Pelodiscus sinensis: one gene and its partners. The protein of the gene in region 1 purifies or fractionates together with the protein of each later gene. This does not show direct contact. Links are inferred from orthologs where the notes say so. Each region holds a gene or a part of one and is shown on either strand. Other genes may lie near its edges.

Region 1 (3,742 bases):
GCACAGTGTGAGCGGGACGGGGAGGGGCCGTCGTTGTTGTGTTTTGCAAGCCGCTTTCGGAAACGATCATTTTTTGTTCCCTGTTGCAAATCAGAAAGTTTAATCAGCGGTGCGGGAAACGCAAAGGCGCAGAGGGCTTGCTATTAGCTCTGCGCTCCGCAGCAAGCCTTGGGGGAAACACGACGCCACTTTCGATAGCTAGGGGAGTGTAAAAATCCCTCAGCCCGGTCCGTAACTCCTAATTCGTTGGGGGGGGAGGGGTTGAGAGGAACCAGCAGCTGATCCCTTGCCAAGTGGTTACTGCCCCTTTAAGAACAACACGCTGGTGCTGTTCCCCCAGCAGCAACTTCTCTCCCAGGCAGGAAGGAACCAGCCTCGTCCCAACCTCCCGAAGAAGGTGTCTCCGCCGCCCCTCCCCATCCTGGCCTCATCACACCTCCCTCTCGGCTGGATCACTGCTCCCATCCTGCCTTGTTCTCCACAGCGCCCCCGCTCCCGCCTGTGTTCCCAGACTCCCCACCCCCTCCCCCTTGTGCAACTCCGCCCGCCTCCCCCCAGCGCCCTCCGCAGGGGCGAGCTACCTTCGGCGGGTGGCGCACAGCTGCCCTTTGTCTCCCTCCGCCCAGGGAGCCGGGCACTATTTCTCCTCCCCCTGCCCGGGCGCTTGGGTGCCTGTGGAATGCTGCGCGCCGAGCCCGGCAGCGGCGGCAGGATACAGCCTCGCCTCGCGCGCCCTATAAGAACCTCCTTGCGAGCGACGCCATTTTAAGCCTCTCGCTTGGTTCGGCGGCAGCGGCAGGGGAGTGTCCGGCGGCGACCGACCGGAGGCGGCGGCGGCCGGAGACCAGGGCTGCGGGACCTTGCGCTCTTGCCTCCCCGCGGTGTCAGTGGCGCTTTCTGCTCATTTCCCGCTTCCCTCCCTTAGCCCGGCGGGGGAGCCGGGCGTGCGGGAGCCTCGCTCCGGGCTGTGCGGGGGTGGGAGGCTGGGGGGGGGGGGTTGCCCGGGCGGGAGGCCCGCGCTGGGCCTGGCCGGAGCGTGGGAGGGGGGGGGGTCACTCGGACACGGGGCACTGGCTCGGGGCGGTCCGGACACTTGAGTGGCCGGGGCGGCAGCTGAGGCGCCTCGCGGGAGGCTGCCGGACCGCTGGCCGGGGTGGCGGGAGGCGCGTTGTTTGCAGCCGGGCGCTGGGGTGGGAGGCCGGTCCCGGGGGCTCCGCGCTCTGTGGCGGGCGTTCCGGCGCGGCTCCGGGAGCGGGCGGCTGTGGGGGAGGGAAGCGGGTTCGGGTTTGTTTGGACGGTGTAAGTCTAACGAACGTGCTGCTGGACTGCGGCCGCTGTTATCTGTTGCGCTCTGGGCTTTTGTCTCCGCTGCGTGTTGTGCTTGCGGGAGAGGCGCCTGGTGGTGTCCCTGCCGCTGTGGGGTGTTTTGAGTAGTGGCTGCTGCGGAGCGGGGTGTAGCCCGAGCGAGTTTAAAACAACCCAACTAGCTGGAGTCTCTCTAAAGAAAGAGCGAGGTGTCTTGAGGCTTTCCTACCGGGGGAGGGGAACTTGCTGGCTTTGGATTAGGCCATTTCCGAATATGCAGCGTGTTGTGGGAGAGAGCTGATCCTTCTGAGGGGAGGCGACCAGACTTGCACTCTTCTTCTCTCCTCTTCCCCCCCCCCCCCCCCGGCTTATGTAAAACTTAAAAATAAAAGTTCAGGCATCTTTTACGTTCATAGTTTCGGGCTTTTTGCCCAAACTGAAGTCTTAACGATTTATTAAAAACACTGGCCATTCTTGGGACAGCGATGCCTTAAAACAAATCAGAAATCTTAATTTTGTTTCTTGGCTCTTTCCTTAAAAGAAACTTGATACACTAAAAAAAAACCACTGGTAGTGTCTCTACTCTTTTTTTTTTTTTTTAAGTGAAAAGGTGGCTTTCCGTACGATTTTTGGAGGAAAAGCCCTTCTATGCAATGCTAACTGCGTAGGGAGATTTTTTTGGGGGGGGATAGCAACACTGAATCAGTTGTAAACGCTGGCTGTATTTTCTTGATCTCTTCTGTGTGGGTCGTCTCTTGTTCCCGTGCTTCCTATCTTCCAGACATCTGTGGTCCTCCCCTCCCCCAAGTATGCAAGTGGTGACTGGAAAGAGGCTGGGCTGGTATGCTGAGGTCGGTGGAAGGAAGTCAAGGAGGGGTTTCAGTAAAATGGGGACTCTGAGAGTATAGTAGGCTCAGATTAGAAACTGTCCCGAATGAACAGGACCGCTTCCTCTGATCTTAAAGTTGCTTGTATTCTGTATTAGGATTTATCTCCTTTGGGCTGGCATGTGAAGTCCTATTTGGCCAAGTTACCCACCTTAGATTCTGTTAGTTAACTAGTAATGTGTTGAATGCCTACAAATTTAACACACTTGTCTTAGGCAGTTAAAATCTTTATCTAAAGACACTAGTCTGTGGATCCCATTGGCATCAATGGCAGATGCTGGATGCTTGGCGCTGTTGAAAAATAAAATTTTAGATACCCAAATCAGCTTTAAGAGCTGAACACCCTGAAATTTCACCATTCTATAAATTGCATTAATATACTGTTAAATGTATACTTTGATTTGAGGAGCCTAGTGTTTGACTGCCATTTTTTAATACAAACAGTCTTCAAAAATGTAGAACTGAAGAGACTTGTAGGCTGGCTATAGAGGTTGCTCTGACACAACAGTTAATGTTAATTTACTGCACAACTTGTGCTTCATGACTTCAGTAGAATCTACATCTTGTAGCCAACTCAGAGTGGCTTCAACTATTTCCTATTGCCTCAAGTGTCCTAAGCTTTTTGACTTGAGCTATTTCTACTTTTAAGGCATGTAAGCAAGATTTTTTTTTTTTTTTTTTTGGAAGTGTCTCTACAGAACTCAAGACTTTCATCTGGTTATGCGGTTCTAATTCAGGGTTTAAAAAATAGGGTTGTGTAACTGTGGCTGGGTAGCTAGCATTTGTTACTTCTGTGTGTTAGTTGCTGTCATTTGTAAGGTAACTTAGTTTTACAAATTAAGTGCCTGCTGCCCTGGGCTAGAGCAGGTTTATCAAGGAAAACTGTCATCATAAAGAGTGGGTGAGGCAAAGTCCTCCTTTTAAACTTGTGAGATTTTCTTGATATGCTGATCTGACTGGATACTGTCATCCACTTCTTAGAATAGTGTTAACTGAATAGATCAGATCTTATAAATGTGCCACATTGAAGAATAGCAGTATTACAGTAATTCACAGCTTTATAAAAACCTGCAAAGTATTTCCAGTGCCTGCTACACATTCTACTTCTCCCTCTTCCCCTTCATTATATCAACTTCCATGTGGGAGAGGTTCAAAACCAGTTGACCTGCTTTCTTGAGTGATTCATGCAGTGTTAACTTTCTCTTCAGTTTTCTTTTGTCTCTGGAGATACACTGGCTATAAAATTAATGCACTCAAAAAGGGAACAGTGGTTAAACAGCCATTGTAACAAATAGTGCTGTTAATCTGATTTAGAAGTGGATAGGAATAGCATTCAAATGATAAAAGGGAATTTTGAAATCTGTAGTTATTATAGTAAATATTTTGTGTATTTCTCATTGGCTTAGCAATAGTACTTGTTTCCCCTGAAGTGACCAAAAATCTGACTCTCCCTCAGGGAGATGTGCAAATGCTACATACAGATGACTTAAGTTAAATGAAAGAGGTTGATCAGACTCTGAATATTGTCAAACTTTGCTAATATCCACTTT
Region 2 (3,742 bases), on another chromosome or scaffold:
GGTTAGAGATACAGCCAGGGACACCCACCCCAGCCCCTCCTGCTGCCCCCTGGGGACGGGGAGTGGGTTAGAGATACAGCCAGGGACACCCACCCCAGCCCCTCCTGCTGCCCCCTGGGGACGGGGAGTGGGTTAGAGATACAGCCAGGGACACCCACCCCAGCCCCTCCTGCTGCCCCCTGGGGACGGGGAGCGGGTTAGAGATACAGCCAGGGACACCCACCCCAGCCCCTCCTGCTGCCCCCTGGGGACTGGGAGCAGGTTAGAGATACAGCCAGGGACACCCACCCCAGCCCCTCCTGCTGCCCCCTGGGGACGGGGAGCGGGTTAGAGATACAGCCAGGGACACCCACCCCAGCCCCTCCTGCTGCCCCCTGGGGACGGGGAGCGGGTTAGAGATACAGCCAGGGACACCCACCCCAGCCCCTCCTGCTGCCCCCTGGGGACGGGGAGCAGGTTAGAGATACAGCCAGGGACACCCACCCCAGCCCCTCCTGCTGCCCCCTGGGGACTGGGAGCGGGTTAGAGATACAGCCAGGGACACCCACCCCAGCCCCTCCTGCTGCCCCCTGGGGACTGGGAGCAGGTTAGAGATACAGCCAGGGACACCCACCCCAGCCCCTCCTCTGCCCCCTGGGGACTGGGAGCGGGTTAGAGATACAGCCAGGGACACCCACCCCAGCCCCTCCTGCTGCCCCCTGGGGACTGGGAGCAGGTTAGAGATACAGCCAGGGACACCCACCCCAGCCCCTCCTGCTGCCCCCTGGGGACTGGGAGCGGGTTAGAGATACAGCCAGGGACACCCACCCCGGCCCCTCCTGCTGCCCCCTGGGGACGGGGAGCGGGTTAGAGATACAGCCAGGGACACCCACCCCAGCCCCTCCTGCTGCCCCCTGGGGACGGGGAGCAGGTTAGAGATACAGCCAGGGACACCCACCCCAGCCCCTCCTGCTGCCCCCTGGGGACTGGGAGCGGGTTAGAGATACAGCCAGGGACACCCACCCCGGCCCCTCCTGCTGCCCCCTGGGGACGGGGAGCGGGTTAGAGATACAGCCAGGGACACCCACCCCAGCCCCTCCTGCTGCCCCCTGGGGACGGGGAGCGGGTTAGAGATACAGCCAGGGACACCCACCCCGGCCCCTCCTGCTGCCCCCTGGGGACTGGGAGCGGGTTGGAGATACAGCCAGGGACACCCCTACCCCCACCCTGCCCTTCCGGCTAGGGATGGGCAAGGGAGGAGCTAGAAACACAGGAGAGATGCCCCCAACCCCCACCTCCCTTCCTGCTGTCCCTTGGAGTCGAGGGGGCAGTTAGAGGCATGGCCAGGGAAGCCCACAATCCTGACCTTGGAGACTGGGGGGGCAGAAACTCAGCCAGGGTCCCCTCTCCCCCATGATCCCATCTTCCCAGGGTCCAGGTTAGAGAGCCAGAATGCCCCACCCCCCACCAGCCCCAGGGCACATCTGCCACTGGCCTCTCTCCACTGCCCACACCACTCAGCCCCAACCCCTACATCTCCCCTCCGTCCGAAAGACACTGACCCCAACAGCCTCCCCATAGCACCACCACTTCTCCTGCTCCAGACAGTCCTCAGCAGGCAGTGACCACCCCAGGCGCCTCCTGCTCAACTAGTCCCCAGGGGGCCTCTGCAATGCCTATGGAGAAGCCTCAATCCTCACCCCAGGTACCCCCCCGCAGAGAGATGGGGTGTCCAGACGGGGGGCTCAGCCAAGCCCCTGAACCCCAACACGTACTGTCCATATCTAATGAGAGAGCCACTCACCAGCCTCCTGGCTCCTAATGTGACCCAAGAGCAGAGCCTGACCTCAGCCCTTCATTAGCTTCACCCCAGCTCCCCAGAGCCCCCTTTCCCCAAACAGTGGCTCCCTAGACCCCCAACGACTCTTCCAGCCCAATGCACCCAGGAATCCCAAACCGCCCTCCAATGGATGCCCCTTCTGCCCCCCGAGCTCCCTGGGAGCTGGGCACTTGGGCAGCCTCCCAGCTGCTTAGCAAAGCGCCCAAAGCTGGGTTTGTGTTTCTAAGGGTGGTGCCCATCCGCACAGGCCTCGGTGCGCAGAGCAGCATTTATTCCACACATGGATCACAAAATTATAGGGAACATTGACCGCCCTGTTCCGCCCCCCCCCCAGCTCAGCCCCCCCGGGAATCACCCCCCCCCCAAACCTTCCCCTCGGGGCCACTCGCCCCCCCCCCAGCCCTTCCGGCCTCCCGCCCCACAGCGCCCGGGGCCCTCGACTCCCAGCGCTGCACTCGTGGGACCCCCCGGCCCCCCCGCAGCCCGGCCCCCCCGCTGCCCCCCCCACTCACGGCCGAGTTTCAGGCCCGGCGGGAAGGCCCCGCCGCCCCCCCCCGGCCCGGGCCCCGCCGCCCCCGCCTTGCCGCCCGGCGCTGTCCCCGGGGGGGCCCCGGGCGGGGCGGGGGCTCCGGGGCCGGGGGGGGCCCCGCCCGAGGCGGTGTCGGCGAACGAGCTGGTCCGGGGCCGGGAGGGGCCGGCGCTGCCGCTGCTCATGGCGAGGCCGGACGGGGGGGGGGCGGGGGCTGCCGGCCTGCGCATGCGCCGCCTAGCCCCGCCCCCTGCCGGCCGCGCGAGCCGCCCGGAAACCGAGTCCGGGCCACGCCCCCTTCCACCGCGCGGGTCGCCGGGAAACGGAGTCCGGGCCCCGCCCCCTTCCAGCGCGCGGGCCGCCGGGAAATGTAGTTTCCTGAACCCCCGCCCTGAGGTCAAAAGCTCCAGGTTCCTGCCCCCTGTTGGAGCGCAGGGCCCCGCCCCCAGGGGGACGCTGCGGTTTCCAGCCCCCCCCACGTGGTGCCCCAGCGCTTCCACCCCTCCCCCCGCTCCCGGGCGGGGGCAGCAGGGCCCGGAGATCCCCCCCCCCGCACCCCCCAGGGCACGAGCCCAGCAGGCGGGGAAAAGACCAAAAGCTTCTGCCCCGCGGGGGGAGCGGGGGTCCGGGAGCGTCCTGGGCTCCAAGCCTGGCAACCCCCCCAGGGGCCATGGGGAGCCGCTCCCTGCCCTGGGGCACGGGGGGTTCTAGGTGTGACCTGCCCTGGGGCTCGGGGGGTTCTAGGTGTGACCTGCCCTGGGGCTCGGGGGGGTTCTAGGTGTGACCTGCCCTGGGGCACCGAGGGGGGGTTCTAGGTGTGACCTGCCCTGGGGCACCGAGGGGGGGTTCTAGGTGTGACCCTGCCCTGGGGCTCGGGGGGGGGGGTTCTAGGTGTGACCTGCCCTGGGGCACCGAGGGGGGTTCTAGGTGTGACCCTGCCCAGGGGGGTTCTAGGTGTGACCCTGCCCTGGGGCTCGGGGGGGTTTTAGGTGTGACCCTGCCCAGGGGGGTTCTAGGTGTGACTCTGCCCTGGGGCACCGAGGGGGGGTTCTAGGTGTGACCCTGCCCAGGGGGGTTCTAGGTGTGACTCTGCCCTGGGGCACCAAGGGGGGTTCTAGGTGTGCCCCTGCCCCGGGGGGGTTCTAGGTGTGACCCTGCCCGGGGCACGGGGGGGCTGCTACGTGTGACCCTGCCCGGGGCACTGGGGGGGTTTCTAGGTGTGCCCCTGCCCTGGGGCACAGGGGGGGGCTGCTCCGTGTGACCCTGCCCGGGGCACCGGGGGGGGGTTCTAGGTGTGACCCTGCCCTGGGGCACGGGGGGGGGCTGCTACATGTGACCCTGCCCGGGGCACGGGGGGGTTCTAGGTGTGACCCTGCCCAGGGCACGGGGGGGGG
Region 3 (3,742 bases), on another chromosome or scaffold:
CACCCATACAGACACAGCCTGGTACAACAAGACTCAAATATGGCTACAAATAGCCATTTGTGGGGGCTCTGAGGTACTGTAAGCTGCGCCTGTCCCTTTCTATACAAAATGTCACAGAAGAATCTCAGCCAAAGCATCCAAGAAGGGCACAGTTGCCAACTCTTGCAATTTTATCATGAGTCACATGATAGCTCATGTTTTTCCTTAAAGCTCCATCCAGCTCCGGCAGTCAAACAATTATGAGTTCTCAGTTTTCATGTTAAAAAGAAAGTGTAAGTTTCCACCCCTCCTAGGTGTTGTAAAAACACTTGACAATACAATTCCTGAAGACTTAAAAAAACAAACCCAGAAGTCAAATAAAGAGACCCAAGTTTATTATTTTTCATGATTTTAAGGTACTCGATTTGGGGGCGAGGAGCTTGCGCATCCTTGGGTTTGCAATATTTGTGTAGTTAGTGAACTGAAGTGTGGGGCTTGGCTACATGGGGACACTCGGTACAGTTAAAATGAAGCTATGACGTTAATGCTCGTTAAAACTCCTGTGTGGATGGTCTCATTCAGAAGCGGCCTTTGTTCACTGCAGCATTTGCCAGGGGTTGATTCACATTAACATCACGGATTCCAAAGGCAGAAGGGCCCGTTTTGACCTCTAGTCTGACCTCCTGTATAACACTGGCCACAGAAGTTTCCCACAATAATTACAGGACCAGATCTTTTAGAACATTCATTCAAGGATTCAAGCTTAATTGGCCTTAATTTTCCTGACAGTCCTGCATAGACACGCCTGGGAATTATTCACTCTCTAGGACATCCATTAAGGTGCCAGAGATGCACTGGGCTCAGTTGGATACTCCTTAATCTGGACATTCCCTTACATCTATGTCCAATGCAGCATCCAGCTAGGGTTAAAAATGCACCCTCCTTGTTCATGGCAGAGATGCCATCAAACGCACAATCCCCAGCCCATCTGACACCAAGATGGCACCACAACAGCCTACTACAGAACCAGGCAGTGGACATAACACTCATTGCACACTGTCCACCACAAAAAAAAAAAAAAAAAAAAAAGACCCCAGACACAAACTCCTACTTGCATCATACAGGATGAGACTGGATGTTTCTGTGGCATCCTGCATCAGATACAGTCCCAACTCCTGACTGACTTCACCTGAGCCAGACACATGGTGTTCAGGCTTCCAAGAGCATAAGCAAAGCAACAAACCTCCAGAAAGCCTGCTTCTTAGTTTCCAGATGGGTGAAACATCCTGTCTGCCTTGGATTGGATTTCTCGAATTACCACCCCAATGTTCTGCTTTGCAGAGACTTGGTGCCTGGGCCTCCCTGATGTCCTGGCTTGGAGAACTCCCGCTCTGTGCAAGCAAGGCAGAGGACACATCTCCCCTAGTCTACGGCCTTCTGTTGGTCTAGGCCTTGGGCTCTCCCTTACACCAACAGCCCTGCCTGCCATACCCAGCCAGGAAGACTGCTCTTGGGAAAAGAAAGCCTGCCCCTTTTCCAGGAGCTGCCCCCTCTCTGAACATGGGACCCAGGGAATCCCACCTCTCAGTGGTTAAAGGCCTCCTCTCCAGCCAGGGGGAAAGAGGAGGAAATCCCAGGGGCTGGTTGACTAAGTCCATTGCATGTGGCAGGGCCTAGTCATGTGGGGAGATACAAAAATAGCTCAATCTCCTTTCTCATTTCCCTTTTCTCTGCATCCCAAGCGCAGCCTCCCTGCTCTGCTCTGTGAGCGCCGCGCGAGGTGCCCTGGCTCTGCACCCGGGGACGGCGGGGGGGGGGGGGAGTGTCACTTACTTTGGCTGGAGGAGCCGCTCCCTTGGGCCACGCTCACACTCGCTTCTCCGCCTTTAATTCCATCTGGGGAGAAAACAGAATCCGACTCGTAAATGGTGTTGAGCATCGGATGTAGCCCTGGCATGGAGCCTGCTGCCGGAGCCCCGGGCCGGGGAGGGTCAGCGGGGCATCTCAGCCATCACAGCCCAGGCAGCGGGCGCTCAGCGCCGGGCTCGGCAACTCTCGCATCCAGGCAGCTGCTTCCTGCCGGAGGCTCCTTCAGCTGGAGGAGGGGCAGGGCGAAGGGGCTTCCCTGGGTGCCATGATCTCAGCCCCGCGGCAGCTCTCAGGGACCAGCGAGAAAGCGAACACCGCCCATCCCCGTGCGCTCCGCGCCGGGCTTCCCGCGGCCGATCCACCTGCGGCGGCCTCGCCCCAGCCCGGGCCAGGCGCAGAAATAGCTCGGGGTGGGGCTCGCCCCAAAATAGCCCGAGCGCAGAAGCCGGGCTCCGAGAGGGCAGGGAGGAGGAAAAAAAAGTTGCATTGTTTGCGAAGGAGGCTCGCGATTGGCCGGGCCGCAGCCAATGGCGAGCGAGCCAGGAAAGTTCGCTGTTGGAGCTCTAGCTCCATCCGCAGAGCGAGCCCAGAGCCCCGCCGGGCAGGTGGGAGCCCGCTGGATTCGCTCCCAGCACCTGCTGGGCCGGGGCTCCGGGCTCGCTCCGGCTCCCGGGGCTCTGCCCTCGCCCTCCTGAAAGAGCCTCTCTGTCCGCACCCACGTTGTACAAGGTAGGCTCTGGTGGTGCAACATCCTCCGAGGATCTGCGGGGCCAGATACATCTGGAGTCACTCGACGAGGCTGGCCCTCCTCCAGCGGCAGCCGCCCTGGAGTGTCATTTAGGGGGCGCCCATATGCCCCCCTCCCAACGTGGATGCCAGGCTTGTATAATTTGGGGTTGTGCCCAGAACAGGTCCAAGCAGCGCTGTTCTGTCCATAGGACAGGCCAGGGCAACCGCCCTGAGCCCCGTGATTTGGGGGGGCACTTCAGGGGGACACAGGGTCCAGGGTAGCCTGGGGGGATAACAGAGGCCTGGTGCTGGCAGCAGTGAGCAACCTCACTCCGCACCAGCTCCCTCCGCACCAGCTTTGCTAGGAAGAAGGGACAGAAACCAAAAAGAGGCAAAGTAGGGCTTGGGGCAAGAGTCAGGAAGAGGGGGAACAGGGGTTCACTGCTTCTGTTGCCAGGCCCTCTGCTAATCTCCTAGGCTGTCCTGGATCCCACATCCCCCAAAATGCAGGGCCTGAAATGTTTGTCCCGGTCCATCCAATGAACTTTGAAAATATAATACCAGACATTGGTAGAGACAGGCTCAAATTCCTGAATATTGGTGGAGCATGGCATCACAGGCCCATATAATATACCACCTATGCTCCCACAGTGCCAGCGGGACTCCAACAACAGAATAGCAATGGCAAGTCAGGATTCAGCTCTGAGCAGTCAGATGTGCTTCCCAGGACTGGCAAGTCTCACGATATCTGGTGTTTTCTAAAAGCCTCAACTTCTGGAGTGGGGTGATTATCTGACTTCTCTGCCCTGCTGCTTCGGGCCAGTATGAAGTAACTATCTGTCTTTTTGACTGCTTAGGGAAATTTGAAAACATGACACCTGAAAGATTCAACCTCTAGAAGGCAAATAAAATAACTTGAGGTTTATTTTTCATCTAATCATGAAGTGGAGGGGGGGGGGCAATGCACAGTTTGTGAATTCTTGGGACCACAGGACTGAATTAATACAGCCAGAGAGAAAACTGGGAGATTAGTAATCTATTTTCCAGACACTGCAAAGAGTGGGCCACTGAGATACCAGCCCCAGCTCCTCCCACAGCACCAGTTCCAGGAGCTGGAGAGATCTGGGTAGGACTATCAGAAGGCACTGTTGTGTATTCCCAAAGT

Evidence for each region.
Region 2: the proteins of CTNNB1 (region 1) and GSK3A purify together in Homo sapiens (affinity purification with mass spectrometry; 3 studies listed by BioGRID and IntAct, with this or other methods). This does not show direct contact. The link is inferred for Pelodiscus sinensis from reciprocal best matches to the Homo sapiens genes CTNNB1 and GSK3A.
Region 3: the proteins of CTNNB1 (region 1) and HDAC7 purify together in Homo sapiens (affinity purification with western blotting; 5 studies listed by BioGRID, with this or other methods). This does not show direct contact. The link is inferred for Pelodiscus sinensis from reciprocal best matches to the Homo sapiens genes CTNNB1 and HDAC7.

Annotation. Positions count from the first base shown.
Region 1 is NC_134712.1:177,510,965-177,514,706, reverse strand, and holds the start of CTNNB1 (catenin beta-1), read left to right. Parts: upstream 1-850; 5' UTR 851-883; intron 884-3,742. UniProt on the Homo sapiens protein: Key downstream component of the canonical Wnt signaling pathway.
Region 2 is NW_027465888.1:163,392-167,133, forward strand, and holds the start of GSK3A (glycogen synthase kinase-3 alpha), read right to left. Parts: upstream 2,549-3,742; 5' UTR 2,534-2,548; coding exon 2,332-2,533; intron 1-2,331. UniProt on the Homo sapiens protein: Constitutively active protein kinase that acts as a negative regulator in the hormonal control of glucose homeostasis, Wnt signaling and regulation of transcription factors and microtubules, by phosphorylating and inactivating glycogen synthase (GYS1 or GYS2), CTNNB1/beta-catenin, APC and AXIN1.
Region 3 is NC_134729.1:7,944,309-7,948,050, forward strand, and holds the start of HDAC7 (histone deacetylase 7), read right to left. Parts: upstream 2,325-3,742; 5' UTR 1,937-2,324; coding exon 1,813-1,936; intron 1-1,812. UniProt on the Homo sapiens protein: Responsible for the deacetylation of lysine residues on the N-terminal part of the core histones (H2A, H2B, H3 and H4).